Linked DNA regions of Bombyx mori. The protein of the gene in region 4 purifies or fractionates together with the protein of the main gene of each other region. This does not show direct contact. Links are inferred from orthologs where the notes say so. Each region holds a gene or a part of one and is shown on either strand. Other genes may lie near its edges. The genes, in order: transcription initiation factor TFIID subunit 9, transcription initiation factor TFIID subunit 5, transcription initiation factor TFIID subunit 4, Tbp, transcription initiation factor TFIID subunit 12 and transcription initiation factor TFIID subunit 6.

Region 1 (3,916 bases), on a different chromosome or scaffold from region 4:
GTCCATGTATTAGTTAATGTACCTAATACAATATTACATTAATGTAATCATTAGCGATATTCTAGTACATTTCGTGAAGGTATCGCCGTGCTGCGACGTGTCAGCGTCCGAAGCGACCCACTTAACAATTGGATTGATATCTGAAAATACTTATTTTTACTGTACACGTAAGTTATTTCATATTTTAACTGAATAAATCGAAATGGTTATTATAGTTGTATGTTTTATTTATTTAATACCCTTCAAAATCCATGTCAACCTTCAGTGACTTTAGAAACAATTCTTGTTGATTCACCATCGTTAAAATAGTCCTACTTCCAAGATACTGTCTCATGAATGAATGAATAAACTGAACATGGCGCTAATCAGAACTGGCTATCTTAGTAAAAAAACCTGCCAGACTGTTATTAAGTGGATATCTAACTTTTTTGTGTAACTTGTCGAAAGGCAAGCAATTGCTTAAATTCCAACAGAACAAAGAAACATCAAACGGGAACGCTTGACTGTTTTGCGGCAGAAAAAAACCAGATTATGGATATCTATTCTAATTTATTTTTCAATTCACAGTTTATAGACGGTTGATAAATGAATATTAATATTCTCTAAATCTAAGAAAATCCTAAAATTAAATGAACCAAATAATACAAACCAGTTTTTCATTTTGTTACAATATTGCCGAAAAATAATATACATACATATATCTTTTTATTTTGAGTACTTTAATTAAGATAAATAAATAAGAAAAATGATTTCTGTTTTGAATGTAAATGCATAAAAGGAAATTTAATATCTAGGTAATATTTTTTTCGTAAGACAGTGCGGGATAAGCGTTTACATTTGTTTAAAGATAAAGGTATTGAAAGTAGAGATATTGAAACCAGCTACTTAGTTAGTTTTGTTAACTAACTGTACAGCTGTTTGATGAACGAAATAAATAAGAAAAAAGGAATTCATTATATATTTTTTGAAGTAAAACTTCTTTAGGCGCGTTGAGAGTGAAATTTAACTCGCGACAGATTCGTTACGGCTAGAGAGAAAAGATACAATTTAGGAAGAGCGAGAGTAAGAAAATAGGTAGGGCGTCTTGTGAACCACTCAACCGTGGAGAGAGGGAAAGGGCAAAGCGAGTTAGGTCGTTTTTTAATTTAGTGACATCTATTGGATTTCGTTTAACTACTACATTGCAAGACCATCGGTGTGAACAGTTTAGTTTCTAAATTATTTACAGAAGGCGGTATTTTAAATAAAAGTAATTATCACTAAACATATTATTATTGTAAAACCAAAGGACTCGTTCGGTAATCATCGAATACTGGTAACAACTTCTTTCTAAGTTAATCTTATTTCTCGAGATAAATTGAAGTTTCACTTCTTTCACGTGCACCAAGTTTTATACGCGCACCAGTTTTTTGTTTGTTTCCAAGTTCTGACAACAACCATAGAGAGATATACTTTTAAATGTGTTCTGAAATGAAGATGTCAATGGCTCAGAATGGCTGACACTGACAGTTTGAATTGACTTGACAATCGTCATCAAACAACATAGATCTGTCACAATCACAGCACAAGTGTTGTTTTTATAGCATTGTTACCAAAATAAAGTATGCCAATACTATGACTAAGAAAAAGATTTTTAAACAAATCAGAAATAATTCGGTCTAAAATTAAAATAACAAATAAAACTACAAGATGTCAGAGAAAGACAAATCCAAATCGGGTGGTCAAGCTAAGCACATTCCCAAAGATGCCCAAGTCATCATGTCCATCATGAAGGAAGTAGGTATCACTGACTATGAACCGAGAGTCGTGAACCAGCTCCTAGAATTCACATACCGCTACGTTACATCAGTATTAGATGATGCAAGGATATTTGCAAACCACGCAAAAAAGAAAACTATAGATCTTGATGATGTGAGACTGTCAGCTCAAATGCAATTGGACAAGTCCTTCACGAATCCCCCGCCCCGTGAAGTGCTACTGGAGATCGCGAGGGTCAAGAATGTTAATCCTTTGCCGTTGATAAAGCCGCATTGCGGGTTAAGACTGCCTCCGGATCGGTAAGTATTGGAAAATGTAGCACACTTTAATCCTATATCTCACAGCACATTATATTAATCTTTCGTGAGTATGGACTTAGATAATTTCTTCAAAAATCAGGATTAGCTTAAATAGCTCAAGGTTCAATCACCGGACTTGAGGGAAAAATACTCCACTTTAGACCACACGTATGTAATTTGCGCACCATGAATTGATTGCAACAATATTGTGTTCACAATCAAAGTTCAGTAAAGTCTTCTTGTAAACAATATCTTTAGGTGACAGATTGTCTTATTACAATTTGTAAGTAGTTACTGATACTTCAATACTGCCTGTTACTAAGAAGTCTTCAAACCTTACTGAAATAATGTCAGAATACTCCATAAACACCAATGGTTGCATTTGGGAGCCTGGTATAATAGTAAAAATGATGAATAGAAATACACTATGGACCAATTCCGCTAACAAAGGAAATTATGGAATAATTTTGATTAATTTTGTGTGAAACATGAGATTCCCTTAACACCCAGAGCCTTTTAATATGGTTAACTTGTAAATCGCTGCATGTTTACAGAGAATATTCATTTTTCCAGTTACTGCCTGTCATCCTGTAATTACAAACTGAAACCAGCAACCAAGAAAGTGATCACAAAAACTACGATAACCCCTTCCCCGTCCATAAAAACGGTCACCACATCCAAAGCACCTCAACAGACAGTTGTTATGAAGAGACCACCGGGAGCAATTGTGAATGTGGGCACCCCAAAAACCAGTCTCGGAACAAAACCTGTACTGAAATTTTCATCAAGCAGTAAAGTAAGAATTTGGTTTAATTTTAAAATTATAGAATAGATAAATAGACAGCACTATGCTTTATCATATTCATCACAGATTGAACTATTAAAAAGTGGTTTCTTTATTTCCTAACAATAATTTGAAATGTTGAAAACTGATAATCTATATTATGATATAAACAAAACGAAATATCTATTTTGTCTAATTAAATGTCAACTTATATTTGATAATATCAAAATTGCGTCACAATTTTTTTTTATTATATCTGATTATGTATTGAAATCTACATTATAAATTAAAACTAATTTTAATCTTTCATTTTTTATTTGCTTTACATTATTTCTGACATTTCATAGTTAGCACAATATTTAAATGTCAATGAATTATATTGCAGGTAGTAAAACCAGCTGTAAGAGTGACAGCTGGTCCTTCCTCACAGGCTCCTATCAAGATGGAGACAGACGAGCCAATGAGCCACAAACGGAAAAGAGAAGACGACGATTATGATCTATAAATAATTAATAGGATCACGATCTTTCTGCCTGGAATCAACATTTTGATATTAAAAAGTATCATGTGTTTAATCCTGTTTGTTTAGTGATTAATTCCATAAAACCTGATGATGCAAATTGCTCAGATTGTATGGTTTATATGACTAAGGGTATTTTAATTATTACTGTAGGTAGAAACAACAAAAAAATTGAATTTTTCCTGTTTTTTTTAAGTGAATCATATTTCAATGAAATAGCTTGCCAAAAGTTCTAAAGATAATATAATAACAGAAAGATTTAAGTAAGAGAATCTGAGATTAAAAGAGTCACTGTCTGACTGTGCCCTATAATTTAAGTAAGATCTGGAGGTGAACTCATACCGTTTTGATGCACAACTAGATTCTTTTTAATTTGCGACCGTATAGCTTGGCTGCCGTGCAAATTTTGAATTGAATTTGATATTATGTGTTGTAGTTTTCTAGATGAGAACAGGATATCTACAGTGATTTAACATACATTTAAGAAGGCATTAAAATAGAGTAGGTAAGATAAAAATGCATTCACAGAACTTGTCATCTACTACACTCGCGAGC
Region 2 (3,500 bases), on a different chromosome or scaffold from region 4:
CATCTAAATATATTCTTCATTTCCAGCACAAATAAATTTACAGTTCAGTTATCAAGAGATGCATCTTCACAACTGAAACGTTACTTACACGAACAGAAAAATTCCTCAGTAATAATAAATATAATAAATAATCATATACAAATCGAAGTCCATGATGGTCCAGGAAGAACTCAAGCACAAGTTCGAGCTACAGCTGGAGGGGTACTTGGAGAACCAATGAAAAGTGGTGAGAATGTTGAATAATTATCGAATTACTATAAACACCAATGAGAATGAGAGCCATTAAATATTAACCTGCATAGGTAGGTACCACCGTTCTACGTTTTTCTGCTGCAGTAATAAGTTCCTGTTTTAATGTTGAGACAACTGATAAACATTAGACTTGGTTTTTCTACCTCATGTCTTAAGATGTGTGATGACATTTAAGCTTTGATTTGTATGAGCTCTGATAACCACATATCACCATGAGAGCCACATATCATCATTGTTCACTCATCTATACATTCAATTGTTCTCCAGTTTTTCTTCCGGTATTTAAATAGTGACACTGATTCAATGAAATTGTAACTATACTGTAAATAACATTATGATGACATTGCATCACAGGGCCAAAAAATAAATGACTCTTAAGTAGGTAGGCCAAATAAATAGAATACATTTTATTATAAATAATTATATAAACGACAATACCTAATGAACACAAGAACAATGATAAGATTAAACTTTTTAAATTTAAATTAAACAAAAAATTAAATTATATAGAAAATCGCACCAAAGTGTATTATGGGCTCCTGAAAGAGCCCGATATTCAAGTTCTACCGGCTCCGGTAGAAGACGAAGAAGAAGTAGAAGAAACCCCTGACAAACCAAAAAAGAAAAAAGCGAAAAAAGATAATCTTTTTATGAAGAAACCAAAATCTGACCCAAATGCACCTCCTAATGACAGGATCCCTCTACCAGATCTGTAAGTCTTGTACTGATTGCAAATTTATGAATTTTTTAGAAAGAAATTGTGTGAAATAAAAAATATAGTATTATGTGCACATATTTTAATTTATTATTTTAGAAAAGAAATTGATAAAGTAGAGAAAGGCAAAGCACTCAGAGAAGCATCAAAACGTGTTCAGCTAGGACCAGACAGCTTGCCCTCTATTTGTTTCTATACATTACTGAACAGCGGACATACTGCAATTAGTTGTGATATTTGTGACGATTCCACCCTTTTGGCTGTGGGATTTAATAACTCAAACATAAAGGTATACATAGTATATAGCGAATGGTATTGATTTAATGTGTTATGATTTTCAGGTATATGCTTTTTACTAACTAACAAAAAATAGCATAGGAATGAAGCTGCTATTTTTAATTAGAGCTTTTGAAGGAACTGTATCGCCTAAGACTAGATTTTTTCTTTGAGAAGTTTTTGAAAAAAGAAAACCTGACTAGAGATGCTACCACGTTTTTCCCAATTTAGCACTCTTACTATTGTAGCGACAGCTATTACAGAATAGAAGATATTTGTCAAAAACACATCATCAAACACATAAGCACATCTAAGTTTCGAGCATTAGGACAAAGACACTCGCTCAGTGATCATTCCTAGGTCGTTATCCACAAAACTGTAAACCCAGTAAAATATGAAGTAACCGCTTGTAAATATAACGCTCTCATCATGTTTCCACTTGTGTACATATTTTTCTACATGACTGTAAAGATCAGAGATCACTTAATGCTAAAAAGCTTTTACGATAATATTTAAGTACAGTAAGTATACGAGGCTTAAATTAAGCATCAAAAGGTCGTTGCAAAATTCAAATCAGAGTTGTTAAATATTTTATTCCTAATTACCTCAAAGGCTCAGGGACATGCCTTAATACTAACGACATGTCGCAATGCTCGGGAAAAATCTGAGAAAGGGAGAGTTAGTTAATTCCAGGCAAAGCCGAGTGACACAATGAACTCTTAAATCTCGCTGTGGAAACCCTACGATAAGCATTGCCCTGTGGTAAGGGTAGTTATTAATGGTAGATCACGACTCAGAGCAGCCCCTAATAGATCGAAGTATCTTCGGGTACCCAATGATTGAAAACCATCCGAGAAACTAATCGATAATTCTAAAGAAACTATCTTCTCAAATTATAATTTGTCTCTAATTATTACTACCTAAACACTACTCATTCATCCTAAAACTCAAAATTATATTCTAATTTAAAATATTTTAGGTATGGACATTGACTCCCATTAAACTGCGAGGAATGAAATCTGCAGAAAAACTACAAGATATAGACAGGGAAGCAGGTATAAATTTGGTTAAAATATATAATTGTTTTCAAATGATTTAATCTAATATAAATAAATTGCTTACTTTTAGGTGATGTACTCGTGAGGATGATGGAGGAAAAGGACCGTGATACGTGCCGCAACCTTTTTGGGCACTCCGGCCCCGTTTATAAAGTTGCATTTGATCCTTTTAAAACAATGCTGCTTTCGTGCTCTGAGGATACAACTGGTACGTGGGTCCGGTTTAACAAACTTTGAAATCGGAATCAAAGTTCCCAGTCTGAACGGGGCAGTGAACCGGCTCTGTATTTTACAAATATATTATATTATCTCCTCGCGTCGTTTCCTCACTGCTGAGGGTCGTGACCATTATACTTCGACATGATTTTACTCCTTGTAATGTCCCGCCAGCGCCTCCGATTATTGGCCGCAGGAAGGGCGTCGTGGAATGGGATCTCGTGGATCTCGTGATATATGACTTATCATTAAAACCGGCTAGTAAGTTAATTAAATGAAATTTCGAATGTGATGCACTGTCCCTTTCCAACAATGCATGCGTTACCAAAAGAAACTTTGGTATTATTGCTTTTTTATTTCCCTTGTAGGCAGACCAGATACGGCTCCCCTGATGGTGAGTGGTTACCGTCGCCTATGGACGTCAGGAACGCCAGGAGCATAGTTAAGCCGCAGCCTACCGCTAAGTACCGTTAAGCTTGCACTCTGTCTGTCATGAATAAACTTTACAAATAATCAATTACATTACAAATAATCAAAGAATCAGTTCATGTCTCTATTTTTGAAGTATAGGTTTGCGATGACTATGATGAATTACAGTTTCCTAACAAACAAAAATTTGTTTATAGCTACATAATTACACCATTTGATGGAAAATTTATTGAAGACTGAAATAATATTGGTAATGGACCTACAGAAATTTCTTAGTCGGATTTCTAGTAACTGTAGTGGTTCGGTTAACACAAACTTGTTCGCGAAACGTCTACTTTTAACGATCTTACAGATCTTATTTTCGACTATTTTGAATTTATCTTCAGTCACTCAAAATCGCTGATGGAAGTCAATTATCTAATGCGGTACCCATTTTTCTACTGATGCCACGGTATAATTCGTATTCGGAAATAACATGATATTTAACTTTTCTAGAATTGTGAATAAAATTTTTCAAAGCAAACAATGCGAAAACACACAGAGAACACACTAAA
Region 3 (3,996 bases), on a different chromosome or scaffold from region 4:
GTTTTATTTCGTTTATTTCGTTTACTCTACTTTATTTATGCTACTAATCATATTGAAACGCACTAAAATTTTCGTGAATTTAATTCAATTTATACAGTACTAGCGGCCCGCACCGTCTCCGCTCGGGTCTTTAATAAAAAATTCAATGATATTTGACGTTGTTTTATTTTTTTTTAAATAAAAGAACACTTATTGCGGAATAACTATAAGAGTACATATGCTGTTGCGACACTTTTTGTAAATAATGTGTTCTACAAAGTTGTACATTATTTTATTCTATTATCAATAGTTTTCGCAGGGCACGCGATGGAAAGAATATTGAAGGTAATTTTTTTACACCTTGGGTTACATTATTGGAGTTTTAGTTTTAGTAAGATCCCTAAATTTTTCAAAAAATAATATAACCTATGTCACTCGGGAATAATGTAGCTTCGAAACAGTGAAAGAATTTTTCAAATCGGTTCAGTGGTTTCGGAGCCTATTCAATACAAACAAACAAACAAATCTTTCTTCTTTATAATATTGGTATAGATAATTTAAAAAATATTAACGTAGCTTTTTAGCTTGTTAATATTTTTCCAAAAATATAAATTAATATCATAACTAAAATTTTGCGACTTGCGACTTAGACCTCATTATAATTCAATTCATTAAGGAATGTCGATCACTTTAGATGGAGTAAAATGTGGTATTATAACATTAGGATTTGATAAGAACGTAATTTATAAAGTGTCTAACACAATCACAACAAAAGAGACTTAAAATTAAAATATAGTTATGAATAGCGAATTAAGAATAAGTTTTAGCCTGAAACCTTTGCAGTTGTAAATTGGCTCACCTTTGTACAAAGACGCTGTTCTACTTTTTGGCGGACACTTTTAACAGATCACAAAGTTGGTGTTTATTTATTTATTTATGTACCTTATTTTATGTCCCTGTGTATTTAACTGTAAATATTGTATATAGTCATCTGAGGTATGACAACTTTTAGCATGTATTACCAACATTTGTACAATTTTCAGTCAAATAACAAAATTATTCTTTTTATTGAAAAGGTAGTGATTTTATTTGGGCTGTCTTAAAAAAAGTACTTTTTATCAAACAGACAAAAATCTAAAAAGTAAAAAATAAAAGTTGTTTCCAAAAGCAGTGATACCACATTTTGTCGGTAAATACCGGTTTGTAACCGTCCAGTGTCATATCCGCTGATTTGTAGAAAATGGCGTCAACGGAGTTTTTGGAGGAAGCTTTGTCCACAGACGTCGACGAGAAAGCCGTGAACGCGATCGTGGGCACTCTCGAAAACCAATTAGTTACTAACGTATCGTCGGCGCCGTCACAAAATATTTTAGTGAACGTTTTATCATCTCAGTTTCCCGGGCTAAGTTCGAACGCGGGCTCTATTATAAGTGGTCATAAATATACAACAGGCGGAGTTAGCTGCGGTATTGCCGCGAACAGTATACACAGACCCTCGTTGACAAATAGCACGTCCTGTAATAATGTCCAATCAAGTGTTCCTGGTACTTATTCCTCTTTGACACCGGGTGGTACTGTGACCAATTGTAACGATAACATACAAGTTATATATTCTCAGGCTCAAGCATTTTCTAACCCAAATTCGGTGACATTTCCCGCTCAGTCACTTCCGAACGGTTTCGTTGGGTTGTCCTCGTCCCAAAATCATTTGATAACGTCAGTAGACGCGATGCAACCTCCTTTAGTTTTAAAACAGGGGACGTCTTCGGGCCAAGTGGGAATACAGTCTGGAATGGTCACAGTACCGATGACAGCCAATTCAAGCATGTCCGGTTCAATACCAAATGTAATGACTTTGAACAAACCTGGACAAAATGTAGTTGTAACAACTCAGAACTTGGGTTCGAGTCAGCCCACAATACTCCCTAATGTTCAGATTCTGAATATGAGAGCTGGTGCTCCAGCAGTTGCGGCACAAAAGTCAGTAGCAACAGTATCACCAAGAGTAGTGATAGGCACCCCACAAGTTGTTGGCACCAGAGCTGCAGGACCAGGCGTAAGTCTCAAATGTTAAAATATTAATACATTAATTATTTATCCAAGCGTTTTGTCACTAAAACTTATTTAAAACTTTTAGGACTGATACAAGTTGTAAAGTAAATATACCACCAAAAAAAAAAAAACTTTTATAAATAAAACAATATTTAGGAAATTCAAAACATAGTATATTGCAACTTTTCTGAAATGTTTGTAAAAGATAAAAATCATTAAACTTAAAATAAGTTAATGTTATTAATTTCTAATTTAATCAAATCAGAATCTTCTATTGTTTTTATTGTCTTTTTATCAGTCCTAAAACAAATTAACAATAGACATTATAGAGGAACTAAAACAAAAAAGAAAAAATCTACAGGATCTTTCTGCATTATAATGTTATGCTGTAAAAATAAATGTTATAACATGGTTCATTATGGTTATGTACAAAAGATATTAACACAATTCTTAGATACCCACTTATCTGTAAATAAATTTCACTGAAACATGAAGAGGATGGATTTCTTCGGGCAACATCACTGTCATCTAAAACTCTTAGCATATTTGCACAAATTGTCACATAAACACAGAATACTGCTTGTTAAACTTTTATCAATGGGAAATGGGCCCACTGGTGATTCAACAAATTTTCAGTGGTTTGCATATCATAAACAAGCTGAAATTTAACTTTGAATTCTGCTACCCTACAATCAAATAATGCCTCAAAATATAAACCTAATACAACATGGATTTATAAATTAAACTTTATTATATAATTTTCTGGGAATCCATAAAACTGCTACAAATAAAAATATTAGTAAAATTTATGAAATCAAGCAATCTTTACCAGTTTAATGGAATCTGAGAAAGCTTCATTTCAGATGTCATATATGTCATATATAATTGCATTGTGCTACTCGGGCTTTTGTATAATATTGTAATCAATAATAGCTTAACCCATCCTAACCTTGTCATAATCATATCATATACATGTTAGTTTTGCACAGTCACCTGTCCCGTCAATGTTGTCATGTCACTGAAGTGTGTTATAAATTTTAACAAATGACCTGCTTTAGGAATTCGCATTCCAATTTTATATTTAGTAAAATATATATTCTTTCACTTGTTACTCTTCATTTAATGAAGAAGTAGGTGAAATTGAATTGAAGCGTTCAATTTTTAGATAACGCTGCAAACACTACCAAGTCTACAACCGGGCCAGCAGGGTCATTTGTTGTTAAAGACAGAGAATGGTCAATACCAGTTGCTGAGAGTGGGTCCCGCTCCAGCGGCCAGCTCTCTCACGACGCCCCAGCCTCAAACCATCAGGCTGTCCACTGTGCCAGCAGTAAGTAGGCACAACCACTCACACCCTGACTGAGATTGGACAACCCCCCCTCTCTCTTGCGCCACATTGAGAATCTCATGTTTGTCCAATTTCATGTTGTTCATGCATGTACAAATGTGGTGAAGGTGCATGTTCTTATTAACAAGGTAAGAAGATTCTAATTGGAGTATCATTACTTATAAATACTAATTACCTGGATTCATTAGTTTAATGTAAGGCATAAATATATGCGCTGGTACCCCAACAGTACATCTAAGTATAAGCCAAATGTCCGTGCTAGCTGTAGAGCATGCTTATTATGCATAGTTATTAAGCTGCTTCAAGTATTTAAATATTTATTAGTAAATACAATAATATATGCAATATAATTAGATATGTGTTTATAGATATATTTATAATTTAGTGTTATACTTTAATAAATTTTTTATAAATTTTAGAAATTATAAGTTATTTGATTAATATAATCTTAACTGTATAACAGACAAGCCATTGTTTAAAAATATCAAAAATATCTATTATAAATTATTATACAGTAATCCATCCTATAACACAGTCAATTGGTTCCATGTTATAGGAAACACGTTGTAGGAGTATTTTCATATGACGCACTTGTGTGATCCCATAACACGCGTTTT
Region 4 (4,167 bases):
TTCTTTCTTTCCACAGCGTAAACAATGCATTGGATTTAATTTTCGTGTTGTATTTTGATGTAATGGTACGGTTTTGGTTTTGCTCCTATTTATTTTTTTAATACTTGTTCGTGGTGTGTCTTGTTCTGCCTGTTCTCTTGATTGAGAGATTGTAAAAATTTGTTGGAAGGTTACTTCTCGTGGTATTCCGTCTACCATTTGAACTAAATCAGGCCATTTTTGTTTCAAGTCGGTTTCTAAATCTGGATGATTCAATCCAGTGGCAAAGCGGTCACGTAATTGTCGTTCCAGGAAGTCATTAGTGTAGCCACAATCCCGACTAAGACCTTTTAATCTGTTTGCATAGTGTTCCATCGTTTCATTTTGTTCTCTAGTGCAATTCCAAAATTCTGTTAAGGCTCTATACCTCGTCGTTTTTATGCGATAGAGGTCTAATAATTTGTTACAAATTTCGCTGTATGTAGCTATATCGAAATCAGGCGTTAAAGCTACTTTTAATTCGTGGAATATCTCTGGTGTTAGTAAATTCAGAAGCAAATCTTTCTGTAAGTCGCTGTTATCGATAGCAAGAATTTTGCATTTGTTTTCGAAAAAATCAATGTAATCGTCAATTCTGAATGTATCTGGATTGTATTTATCCATATTGAAATGTTTGATTATACTTATCTTGTTATCCGTATCATGTTTTGTAAAAGAGTCGTTCGTCACGCTCTTGGCCGTTGTATTGCAAACTGCTGGTACCAACAATTTCAAGATTTGTAAAATCTGCTCTTGCTGGTTTTGTTGTGCATGTAAAAATAATGCGAATTGTTCATCGTTCATCTTAATTTCTTTTAACTCGTCGCCAATATAATAAAACAATGTTTTCAAGACATAGCATAAAATATAATAATGATAGGTAGCAAAAATGACAATGTGTTTGAAGTATATTTCAAATAATGGAATATGTAAAAGAAGGTTACAACAGAGTGCACCGCGGCGCCGGCGCGGCCTTGACATTTTCAATGAACCTGTTACATTTCTACGTACCTATTCCATTTTGAACGCGCGCTTACTGGAGAGCGCTAGATAATTATTGCACACGAGCGCTACATGGGCATCTCTACCTGTGGTTCTACAGAGACATCATTACATTTCATCTCACTCATTAAGTTTCATCGGGTACCTAGTCCATAACATTTGATTCTATTCTATTACACTTTGGATTTAACAAACCAAATTGTCTTTTAACACAAAATAATGGACTAGGCTGAATAGTTTCATTCCATCGCCTTCGCTTATCGCGAATATGATTTTACTTTGACATGTTGGTTCTGAATTTTGTTTGAAAAATGAGGAATTATATAGATACCTACATAATGTGACTTGTGTTGATCAACTAAGTTTTAACTGTTTTAATTCATTGTATTAATTGTTTTGCTGATCCATTAAATTTGCAAATAATTTCACAATTTAGGTGATATTGTTCAGAAAGTAAGAACGATATAAGCGTCATTATCAATTAATAAATAGACAGTTAGGTCGACGCTTACTAAAACACTCACCCGAAGTTTCCATATAAAGAAAGTAAAGAAAGAAAAATGGATCATATGCTGCCAAGTCCGTATAACATACCTGGAATAGGTACACCATTGCATCAACCTGAAGAAGACCAGCAAATCTTGCCTAATGCAATGCAACAGCAACAGCTTCAACAGCAACAGTCCCAGGCACAACCGTCACTTGCCGCTCTGGGTTCGTCGCCAATTGTAGGATTTGGCGCAATCATGGGGACTCCACAGAGGTCTATGCACACATATGCACCAACAGCCAGCTATGCAACTCCGCAACAGATGATGCAGCCTCAAACTCCAGTAAGGATTTTAAGTCCTTGTTTTACGAGAATTTCCATTTATAATTTTAAATTATTTTGACAGTAATATTTTTCAATGATTTCATATTTGCTTTTTAATCCAAACCAACAATTCAACACTCTTTAATTTCTAGATAAATTTAACATTAACATTCAGCTATATCAACTTTTAGCAAAATATGATGTCTCCGATGATAGCTGCAGGAAATCTATCAAGTCAACAAATGCTAAGCCAAGCTAGTCCTGCCCCAATGACTCCTCTGACACCACTCTCTGCAGACCCTGGAATTTTACCACAGTTACAGTTAGTATTTGAAACATTTGTCCAATATCAATTTAATAAAATATTAAATTAAAAAGTTTAGAGTATTAAACTCAGCAGTGATGTGTATAATGAACCTTATTAGACCCTTAGTGGGGTCTCTTAAGAATCTTCAACTTCTCACAACTTCACACAGACTTCAAATTACAGTTAATCTGAAACAGTTTAAGAGGCCAGGTTATTTTTCATTCTGCTAAAAAAAAACAACGTGTATTTAAAGTCAAAGATAACCTGTTCTAAGTGATAACCAGAGATCTAAGTGATAAACATCACAATATCACCATCTTAAAAAGTAAGAAATTTCAAGGACATTTTTGTATCATCACCCTCCAAGCTGAAATTAATAATATCTGCTTTGTGACACATATAGACAGAATTTTAGTATTATCATCCTGTGTAGGTTCACAATTCAGGGCAAATCACAAATAATTACACATGTTCTGATACAAGACATTTTTTGCCATTGAAGTCTGCTATGCTGGACCATGTTGTTATTATGAGGATAATTTTGCCAATTTTACATTGTTTACTTTATATTGTAAGGCTAAATAACCATTAAGTTGGCAAAACTAAATGTAGTTTGATTGAGTTAATTATTATGAGACATGTTTTAAAATAACTTCACTTTTACAAAAGGGGCCACTACCTTGCAAATTATATCAAAAGATGACAAATTTAGTCAACACTAGTTTTTTTTATATGTAAAATTTTTGCAGTATGATATTATTTACAAAACAACCAATTTTCTCATTTTAGTATGCTCAAAGATCATAATCATACTGTAAATGTGATGGACAGTAATAAAAAAGAATGGTGGTTAGTATCATTCAGTAAGCTTGGTTATTTTGTTGAATATATACCTTCTCGTAAAAGTAACTGGCTTGGAACTTCATAATATATTTGGCCCTTGTTTGCTGGACTTAGCATAATGCAAACTGTATTGATAGTAATACTCAAATTTGCAAATAAGCAACTTGTGGCAGCCAAGCCAACAATAGTGTGGTTCTTAGTGTTCACTGTACAGAACATAGATTCTGAGGAACTCTTCAATATTTTGACTATACTTTTCAAACATCTATTCAAATGTTAATATTGGAATTATAATTTCCCTTCAATTTATATCCCATGGAATTTCATTAATTAATACAAAAAGTGATTGCTGAAAATACAGAATTCTTACACTATAATATGTTATTATTCAGTATCAGAGCAGAGCAACTCAAATGGCGCCTTTGCTACCTGGATTCTTTCCTCGTTTTCTCTAATTCGATAATTAATGGGAGATTTGAAGTGCCAGAATGTTAGTGTTAAAGATATAAAATTAAAATTAATTTCAGCATGCCCTAGGTTGAATTTTTTGAGTAAATATCAATTTAAAATTTTTGAATAAATAGTTTCAAATATCTATTATATTACTTGCCCAATGGAGTGTAATGTTTTGGTTTAAAGATGAAAAGTCTAACATACTTTAACCAACTAATAAAATGAAATCTCGTTTTAATGTAGAAAAAAATCACAATTTTGACTAAAATTAAGTCTAAATAATCCATATTTTTTTAAAGTTGCATTCAAAAAACATTTCAGAAACATAGTCTCTACTGTAAATCTTGACTGCAAATTAGATTTGAAGAAGATTGCATTACATGCTCGTAATGCTGAGTATAATCCCAAACGTTTTGCCGCTGTAATTATGAGAATAAGGGAACCGAGAACAACAGCTTTAATTTTCTCATCTGGTAAAATGGTCTGTACTGGTGCCAAAAGTGAGGAAGACTCCCGTTTAGCGGCAAGAAAATATGCTAGAATAATCCAGAAATTAGGCTTCACAGTGAGTATTATAATTTATTTCAATCACAATTAGACAAGCAGTTTCACTTGATGGATGGATTAGCACCAAAAATTTAGATATCAAATAGGTATCTCGAATAATGTTTTTCCTTAGATTCTACAATACATCTAGTCTAGGTAGAGTCTAAAACTACATTTAAGTTTT
Region 5 (3,863 bases), on a different chromosome or scaffold from region 4:
GATGCACAAGCCGCCGCCGTCGAGCGGGGGTCAGGAGGCGGATCTCGCCCAAGCCCTGGCCCTGTAAGTGTTTCGGGTCCCCTTTACATGTCGGTCTGGGGACTGGCGAAGGGGGCCTAAGAAGAGGACGTGCAAGCTGCTCTGCACGCGTTTTACGCAAGAGCATCCGGGTGATGGAAGGCCGGCTATCCTCGACCCACGCTGGTTGTGACCCAGCGGGGTATTCCGTAGGATAACCCATTCTAACCGGCGCCATCTAGGCGGGCTCTGGATAGCCTGCCTACCGGGAGGGCTGGTGGTCGTGGCGCCGACGACCGCCGGTCCGGCGTCCCGAGGGGGAGGGTAATGGGAGAGATGTGCACTAAACGCTTCACTTTCCCCCTTTGACTTTTCATGAGTTGTCTCATGCGAGGATCGGACGCGGGTTGTTGAGCAACAGGAGGTTTTAGTCAGTTCGACTCTGACATGTCTCGAATATATTAAGTGTATAATCTATGGCCCCGCCCTCCATCCCCAGGGATGGAAAAAAAAAGGGGAGGGCGGAAGATCGGCGATTTTCTCCTGACCAAAAAAAAAAGTACTTAGTAGTTCTTTTTTTCAATGTGACAATAAGCTTCTTTCTATACCGTTGTTGCCAGTATCGATTTTATAAAATCTCCAATTAATTTAAATATACGTGTTCTGTGAGAAATGATATGGGATAACGGAATAGGACGAAGTTGACTTATTTAAGGCTGTTATTAATCGGGATCAAATTAAATGATACGAGATGAGATGGAATGTAATAAAGTCTCCCTAAAATGAGAGTTATTTACTGAGACTTCAGTTCAGGTTTTTGGAAAAACCCAGGAATCCACGTCCACAAAGCTCTTTTTAATTTTATTTTATTGAAGTCTTAGTAAACAGTCTCTAGGTTATTTAATCTCCTGACATCTCACCTTATTCATTTCTAGTTTTTATTATTAGTGTTAATCACTCGCGCTATTCGACTTATTGTTGTCGTTAAGCAATCATGCGTTTCAGTTTGAAAGTTGGGAAAGTCGTTTATACAATACAATTGAAACATGGATTTCATGTCTCAAGGCGGATGGCGGCACTGACTTTTTAACCTGCTATAATAAAACCTGCATCCTGTAACAAAATAATATGCTGTATGGGGTATGGTTTCTTTGCCAGTCGAAAAAATGTTAACAAATGACTTAAGTAATATTGTCAATTAGGAATGAAATTGAAATATTGAGACGATCTTATAAGAAAAATAAATAAACTCGTATTGACACACTCATCTCGGAGATTTCGAAATGTTTAAAGATTATCGTTTTTATACGTGACGTTTTCTCGTTTGTTGTGTTAAAAGTATAAATGTCCAATAATTCTCTAGCACAAGCAGCAAATATGCCTACAATAGGGACTGTTGGTCAAGGCGCTATACAATACGTTAATAATCCCATGCAAAGTCCTCAACTTCAAAACACTTCTATTCAAGGTTCTCCTTCTCAACACAGCCCTATGGGGACCCAGTCACAAGTAGCAAAAGTTGGCCAAGGCGGAGCTGGTGACCAGTCATCTCAGGTAGGTTGAAAAGATTTTAAGACTTCGTGGTATATTAACATATATTTTTTCAAACCTTACTATCCACGCAAACTCAACAACGCAATAGTATCCATAAATCCATTTGGACTCTTTGTCAAGGACTAAAGCTTTATAAAATATGTTAAATTTAATAGAGTAATTTAATAGTAATTAGTGCAAAACAATATAATTGTTACTTAACATTATAGTAAATTAAATCTTGTTACCAGAAGCATAAAATTTGAGTATAGAACTTGTTTCAGAAGATTTTTATAACCTGTCTTTAATTCGACAATTTTTTAAATTCTGTTTTCCAGAAATCTTATCCTTAATGTGGTCTCCTTAATGTATCTTTAGATATTAAAATTTAATTTGCTGGATGTGGGCTGTGAAGGACCAGTCATTGTGTAATGTCTGTGGGCTGATGATGACAATAATGACTACAATTTGAAAATCTATATTGTTGATTTTTTTATATACAGCTTCTAAGCCGTCCTCGTCTTCAAGAATTAGTTAGAGAAGTGGACCCAACAGTGCAGCTCGATGAAGAAGTGGAGGAAATGTTACTGCAGCTTGCAGATGACTTCATCGACACTACACTGAATTCAGCTTGCGCTCTTGCTAAGCACAGGCATGCACCAAATGTAGAACTGAGAGATGTGCAGCTACATTTAGGTAAATTATATATTTTTTAATATTACATATAATGCCACAACACAAAATTAAATTTTAATTTTACTGGTTTTACATCAACAAACTAATATCAGTTATGTTGTTTGTCATTTAACAATCATGAAAATATAATTAAAATACTGTTAACCACTGCGAGTTAACCATGTTGTGTGTGCCAAGTTAATAGCAAAGGTGAATTCCTTTTTTTTAGAATATTTTATGAGCAAATCTGATGAAACTTCTTATCAGTCAATATACATGACATTTTCAAAGGAATTTTAGGTAAACATTACTGTTTTTATCCTTGAAGTTGATTCGCTAAAAATGAGTGGACAAGCTTACATCATGCTCCAAATCTTGGATATTTCATTTATAAAAATCATTGTAGGTGTATAGGTGAATAGGTACATTAACAACATCATTACATAATTTGTGGAATAATAGTTTTATAATTGTCCTCAGCTGTAAATTTACCAGACAAAATGTAAGATATTCCTTAGTAAAAGTACCCAGACATGGTATTTGAGAACTATAACTATAGTACACCACAATATTGATTCACTATCTACCTACCATAAGATGTGCAGTTATAAATCATTATTTCAGCAATTATCGTTATTCTTTTGAAAATGGAAAACATTTCAGCTTTACACCTTTGCAGTTTCATTTAAAATTTTCTTTGTATTTGTTGAAACCTAGCAAAGACTCCTTATGCAATATAAGTGAAAATACATTGATGCATTTAGCTTCAATTTTGTTTTCTACTATTAGAAAGACCGTGATTAGATATTCTTGTAATAGCTGAATTGTCAATATAAGAACATAAGAAAAAATGAATTATCATTTTGAATTTTCAGAACGTCAGTGGAACATGTGGATACCAGGTTTTGGAAACGATGAACTGCGGCCATACAAGAGAGCAGCAGTTACAGAAGCGCACAGACAACGGATGGCACTCATCCGGAAATCGATAAAAAAATATTAGCTAATAAATTAGATATCAATACCTAAACGAGATTGTAATGTCTTGTATTTTATTATTTAACAGTTTACGATTTTATCTGTAAGCTGTTTTTTAGAATATAGTTGTAATTTTCTTAAATAAATATTTTCAAAATATGTATGACTATTACTATTTTCGTCAGTTTTCGCGTGATTCGTAAACAAGGTTAATACTACTTATAAAATATTTAAAACATCTAACATAATATAACGAAAATAAAAATCCCGAGATTTAACTATAAAAATTGTTTAAGTTATGTATGTTCATATATTATTTTATTGTCAAGGTCCTACGAAATAAACTTTACAGTAAACTTAGCAGCATCAGATAAATTAAGTTTTAAATTTTTGTAAGATTTATATGTTTATTCATTATAACACCATTGCCAAACTAGGAAAATTCTTAGAATATGCATATAATTTTGTTCACTCTACCTCTACTTATATTTTCCTTATTACAGAAGTCTGGCTTTTTTTAGTTAGCATAGTTTTTTAGCCACTCGACAAACGAGCTTAGTTGTATAATTCAATGAATGGGATAAACAAATAAAAACAACATTTAACTAACACGCAATTTTATTAATTCTAATAAGCTTGTGTTTTTTATGTCAAACATG
Region 6 (4,023 bases), on a different chromosome or scaffold from region 4:
AATATGACCTCTTCCAAGCTGACAAGAATCATCTAAGGAAATAAATTAATCATAGTACTACCACCAACACACTTACTGATAGAAAAAAAGAATATAACTAAGAATATAATTTTCACATAAATATAAATAAATATATATAAGAATACTGCACATAAAAATGGCTTAATAGAAGATTTTGGTTTTAATATTAACAAACCTAGTAAAGTAGCTATATGATAAATTGTAAATTAAATATTATTTTAGTAAGACTTACTGTCTAGAATAGTGCTTGTCTGGGCTGGGTCAATGTCCAGGGAAGTTTTGTATTGTTCTAAAGCCTTTTCTTTTTGTCCTATCTTCTGCAAAGCTTGTCCGAGAAGTTTATAAGCCGCTGCATTGTTATCTTTTTGAGTAAGATATTGCTCAACATATTTTTGGCAATTCGCAAAATCGCCAACTTCAAAATACAACCGAGCGATGGAATAAGCACGACTTTTAAACTGAAAATAACCAAATATCGATGGTAAAAACTTTGTCAATAAGCGTAATACTTGATTTGAACACCAACTACCAACCTCTCTCGAAGATATTTTGTTCAGCAAATTTTCGACGTGCTTATCAACGTCTTTTTTATTTCTATACATTTTAACGATTTTTCCGTCTAACCGATAGTAGTCACTTATTTACAAAACTAGACCTTTTGAAAATAATATTACAACTTGAAGCGCATGAGGCTGCAAATGCCCGTAATCGAACGCGAAGCTATGGTTGGTTATATTGATTACCTTTATTCTCTTTGAAATGGTTGGCAAAATGAATAATAACGAATAGAAATTGGAATGCCGTCAAAAGTCAATATGTCGTCAGTTATAGAGCAAAAAATTGCTAGATCTAAAAATGAGCTCAAAATGTACCACAAATTTAAAAATGTTTGTTTCATAACTGTTCATTTTCTGGAATACTTTTCTGTGGCATGCATTACTGAACAATTTTATAAAGCAATGCTTAAAAATGTAAAAAAATATGGTTTCTATTTGTTGTCATAAAATTTACTTGGCTTAATAAAAAAATCATAAATTACGCAATCCTTAGCTCATGCACTCAACTTGATCCCATAGACATTATAATCTACACCCATCTTATGGCATGAGACCGTAGTTTTAATTTTGGGTGTGACATGTCCATAGTATTGGCATAAAATAGCTTCATCCAGTTTTTTCACACTCAAGACAAATAATAGAGCATGGGCAGCATAAGCAGCATTTCATGCCAATTGATTAAGTTTCCTTCGTTTTTTATTATTCGTAAACTGTAAATACCTACTTAAAACGGCGATTCCTAAAAATCTTATTACTTGACGCTGGCTAATGCACAAACGTGCCGGATCCAAAAACTAAGAAGAAGAATATGTTGTACCAAAAAAATCTATGGTAGAATGTCTACTTGTATCCAAATAGTAAATAAATTAGGGTACACAGGTACATACCTACCTACTTATCTACATTAATTAACTTTACCTTATCACAACAGGAAAATATCAGAAAAAAGCAGGAATAAAAAATTAAAGATTAACCCAAAGAATACAGTGATACAAGGGGTCTATCGTAATCGTAACCAATTTGGTGATAAATCATTGTTTAATGCTGTAGTCAACGTATCTTAAAGGTATTCATATGCTCCCTTTGATTGAATTGAGAACTTTAACAACTTTCATAAACCACAACCTTATTTTTTTATAGATTTAATTTCTATCATGGGCGACTCAGAATTGGCTTATGGATCTTCGTTAACGTTGGATTCCATGAAAGTGATAGCAGAGAGTGTTGGTATCGCCACTCTTGGCGATGACGCTGCTAAGGAACTCGCTGATGATGTTACATATCGCTTGAAAGTGATTGTTCAAGATGCCATGAAGTTCATGCATCACTCAAAGAGACAAAAACTTTCCATTACAGATATAGATCATGCCCTGAAGATAAAAAACAATGAGGTATTTTAATATCTGCAGTTAAAGCAATATTTAAATATGGCTTTAAGTGTTCCATGGTCTCCTATGATAAATTAACAATATTTTTTTTTAATTCATTATATTATTTCATTCATTTTAGTGTCAATATGGATTTATTCAGCCTGATTCGCTGCCATTTAGGTTCGCATCTGGAGGAGGTAGAGAACTCCATTTCATTGAAGAAAAAGAGATAGATCTTTCGGAGATCCTATCAGCACCACCCCCAAAGGTTCCATTGGATGTATCTGTTCGTGCACATTGGCTAAGTGTGGATGGGGTTCAACCAACAGTACCTGAAAATCCACCACCGCTTTCAAAAGAAGCTCAGAAACTTGAATCTGTTGATCCAATAAGTAAACTGAGTAAACCAAGCAATAAAGATTCTGCAGGTTAGATAACTATAACAGTTGTTTTGATAGGAATATCACAGGGTTTAATTAATTTTACTTATGGTAGAAAAGATACAAAACTGGAAGAATATAATTGGTAGGGCTTAATATGGATTCTGATTGAATTATCTGAATTAAAGTACACAAGTAACAAGTTATTTAGTATTTTCAAGAGATTATTGCAAATGATATTTTGACACAAATATATGTATAGGAATAAACATTGGAATCATAACCTCATTTTTTTACCACTGCTACAATTTAAAAAAAAAGCGATTCTATGCGGGTGTGAAAGATAATATTTTTTTATAAATATAAATATTACAGGTAAACCTATATGTGGCAAAGCAGCAAGATTGAAAGCATCAGAATCTGTGCATGTTAAACAGCTTGCTACCCATGAATTGAGTGTTGAACAGCAGCTCTATTATAAAGAAATCACAGAAGCCTGTGTTGGCAGTGATGAAACAAGACGTGCTGTAAGTAACTACCCTGATAGAAAGAAAAAAAAAAAAACAATGAACACCATATAATTTTTTCTTCCATTTAATATTGAATCTTAAAAAGTTGCATATCTTCTCATTAAATACATTACATAATTATATTTATAGTAGATATATTGAAAGAAACTATTTCACAATATTATTATGGAAAACCATATCCATATTGCTTAGATGGGTAGACGAGCTCACAGCCCACCTGGTGTTAAGTGGTTACTGGAGCCCATAGACATCCACAACGTAAATGCGCCACACACCTTGAGATATAGTTCTAAGGTCTCAGTATAGTCACAACGGCTGCCCCACCCTTCAAACCGAAACGCATTACTGCTTCACGGCAGAAATTTTTTACTATATGAAAACAATTTCTGGTAAATGTCTATGGGCTCCAGTAACCACTTAACACCAGGTGGGCGTGAGCTCGTCCACACATCTAAGCAAAAGATGTCTATATTTAAATTTCCATTGCTGTTCAAGTGTAGTCTAAACAAGACCTAACTCACTAAATATATAACTGGTGGCAAAGATCACCAACCATACTTTTTACAAAGTATAGAATTTTCTAATAGGTTTAGATATCCTATATGTATGTTATTCTATTTGTGAAAGATCTGAAATAATTGAAAAAAAATAATTTTGTATTCTGCTTTACAAATTTCTTCATCTTGCAGGAAGCGCTCCAGTCCTTAGCTTGTGACCCAGGACTACACGAGATGTTGCCCAGAATGTGTACTTTTATATCTGAAGGTGTGAAGGTTAATGTCGTACAAAACAATCTGGCTCTTCTCATTTACCTGATGCGAATGGTTAAGGCACTACTTGATAACCAGTCACTATATTTGGAAAAATATGTGAGTAGTTATTCCTATTAATAACAAAATTATGGAGAACCTTCGTCACATTATCAAATGTTGAAACTGTGAATTGAGTCTCAAGATAAAAATCATTAAATTTCAAATTCAATAAATGTGTACTTACATTATTTATTCACTTTGATCATGCAAGTTTGTATATTCCACAATGTGAATGACATCCATGTTGGGATTTTCCACTTTTTATTGCAGTGTCTTTACTTCAATTAATGAATATAAAAGTAGAATGTATATCTTCATTATGTTTAGTCAACGAGAAGAATGTATATCAAAGG

Evidence for each region.
Region 1: the proteins of Tbp (region 4) and transcription initiation factor TFIID subunit 9 purify together in Drosophila melanogaster (affinity purification with western blotting; 8 studies listed by BioGRID, with this or other methods). This does not show direct contact. The link is inferred for Bombyx mori from reciprocal best matches to the Drosophila melanogaster genes Tbp and Taf9.
Region 2: the proteins of Tbp (region 4) and transcription initiation factor TFIID subunit 5 purify together in Drosophila melanogaster (affinity purification with western blotting; 4 studies listed by BioGRID). This does not show direct contact. The link is inferred for Bombyx mori from reciprocal best matches to the Drosophila melanogaster genes Tbp and Taf5.
Region 3: the proteins of Tbp (region 4) and transcription initiation factor TFIID subunit 4 purify together in Drosophila melanogaster (affinity purification with western blotting; 7 studies listed by BioGRID). This does not show direct contact. The link is inferred for Bombyx mori from reciprocal best matches to the Drosophila melanogaster genes Tbp and Taf4.
Region 5: the proteins of Tbp (region 4) and transcription initiation factor TFIID subunit 12 purify together in Drosophila melanogaster (affinity purification with western blotting; 3 studies listed by BioGRID, with this or other methods). This does not show direct contact. The link is inferred for Bombyx mori from reciprocal best matches to the Drosophila melanogaster genes Tbp and Taf12.
Region 6: the proteins of Tbp (region 4) and transcription initiation factor TFIID subunit 6 purify together in Drosophila melanogaster (affinity purification with western blotting; 5 studies listed by BioGRID, with this or other methods). This does not show direct contact. The link is inferred for Bombyx mori from reciprocal best matches to the Drosophila melanogaster genes Tbp and Taf6.

The regions. Positions count from the first base shown.
Region 1 is NC_085109.1:1,357,273-1,361,188, reverse strand, and holds transcription initiation factor TFIID subunit 9, read left to right. Parts: upstream 1-1,493; 5' UTR 1,494-1,689; coding exon 1,690-2,057; intron 2,058-2,630; coding exon 2,631-2,853; intron 2,854-3,226; coding exon 3,227-3,346; 3' UTR 3,347-3,416; downstream 3,417-3,916. UniProt on the Drosophila melanogaster protein: TFIID is a multimeric protein complex that plays a central role in mediating promoter responses to various activators and repressors.
Region 2 is NC_085110.1:9,225,387-9,228,886, reverse strand, and holds part of transcription initiation factor TFIID subunit 5, read left to right. Parts: intron 1-26; coding exon 27-226; intron 227-762; coding exon 763-964; intron 965-1,066; coding exon 1,067-1,256; intron 1,257-2,222; coding exon 2,223-2,298; intron 2,299-2,371; coding exon 2,372-2,509; intron 2,510-3,500. UniProt on the Drosophila melanogaster protein: TFIID is a multimeric protein complex that plays a central role in mediating promoter responses to various activators and repressors. May play a role in helping to anchor Taf4 within the TFIID complex.
Region 3 is NC_085107.1:19,834,974-19,838,969, reverse strand, and holds the start of transcription initiation factor TFIID subunit 4, read left to right. Parts: upstream 1-1,196; 5' UTR 1,197-1,219; coding exon 1,220-2,035; intron 2,036-3,196; coding exon 3,197-3,361; intron 3,362-3,996. UniProt on the Drosophila melanogaster protein: TFIID is a multimeric protein complex that plays a central role in mediating promoter responses to various activators and repressors.
Region 4 is NC_085118.1:10,751,688-10,755,854, reverse strand, and holds the start of Tbp (TATA-box-binding protein), read left to right. Parts: upstream 1-1,367; 5' UTR 1,368-1,580; coding exon 1,581-1,853; intron 1,854-2,025; coding exon 2,026-2,156; intron 2,157-2,192; exon of another isoform or gene 2,193-2,329; intron 2,330-2,405; exon of another isoform or gene 2,406-2,508; intron 2,509-3,034; exon of another isoform or gene 3,035-3,172; intron 3,173-3,758; coding exon 3,759-4,002; intron 4,003-4,167. UniProt on the Drosophila melanogaster protein: General transcription factor that functions at the core of the DNA-binding multiprotein factor TFIID.
Region 5 is NC_085113.1:5,365,976-5,369,838, reverse strand, and holds transcription initiation factor TFIID subunit 12, read left to right. Parts: upstream 1-1,224; 5' UTR 1,225-1,362; coding exon 1,363-1,572; intron 1,573-2,054; coding exon 2,055-2,247; intron 2,248-3,101; coding exon 3,102-3,229; 3' UTR 3,230-3,363; downstream 3,364-3,863. UniProt on the Drosophila melanogaster protein: TFIID is a multimeric protein complex that plays a central role in mediating promoter responses to various activators and repressors.
Region 6 is NC_085121.1:11,010,764-11,014,786, reverse strand, and holds the start of transcription initiation factor TFIID subunit 6, read left to right. Parts: upstream 1-1,223; 5' UTR 1,224-1,644; intron 1,645-1,718; 5' UTR 1,719-1,732; coding exon 1,733-1,969; intron 1,970-2,087; coding exon 2,088-2,376; intron 2,377-2,703; coding exon 2,704-2,855; intron 2,856-3,547; coding exon 3,548-3,727; intron 3,728-4,023. Other genes in the region: E3 SUMO-protein ligase RanBP2, read right to left, coding at 254-479, 555-623. UniProt on the Drosophila melanogaster protein: TFIID is a multimeric protein complex that plays a central role in mediating promoter responses to various activators and repressors.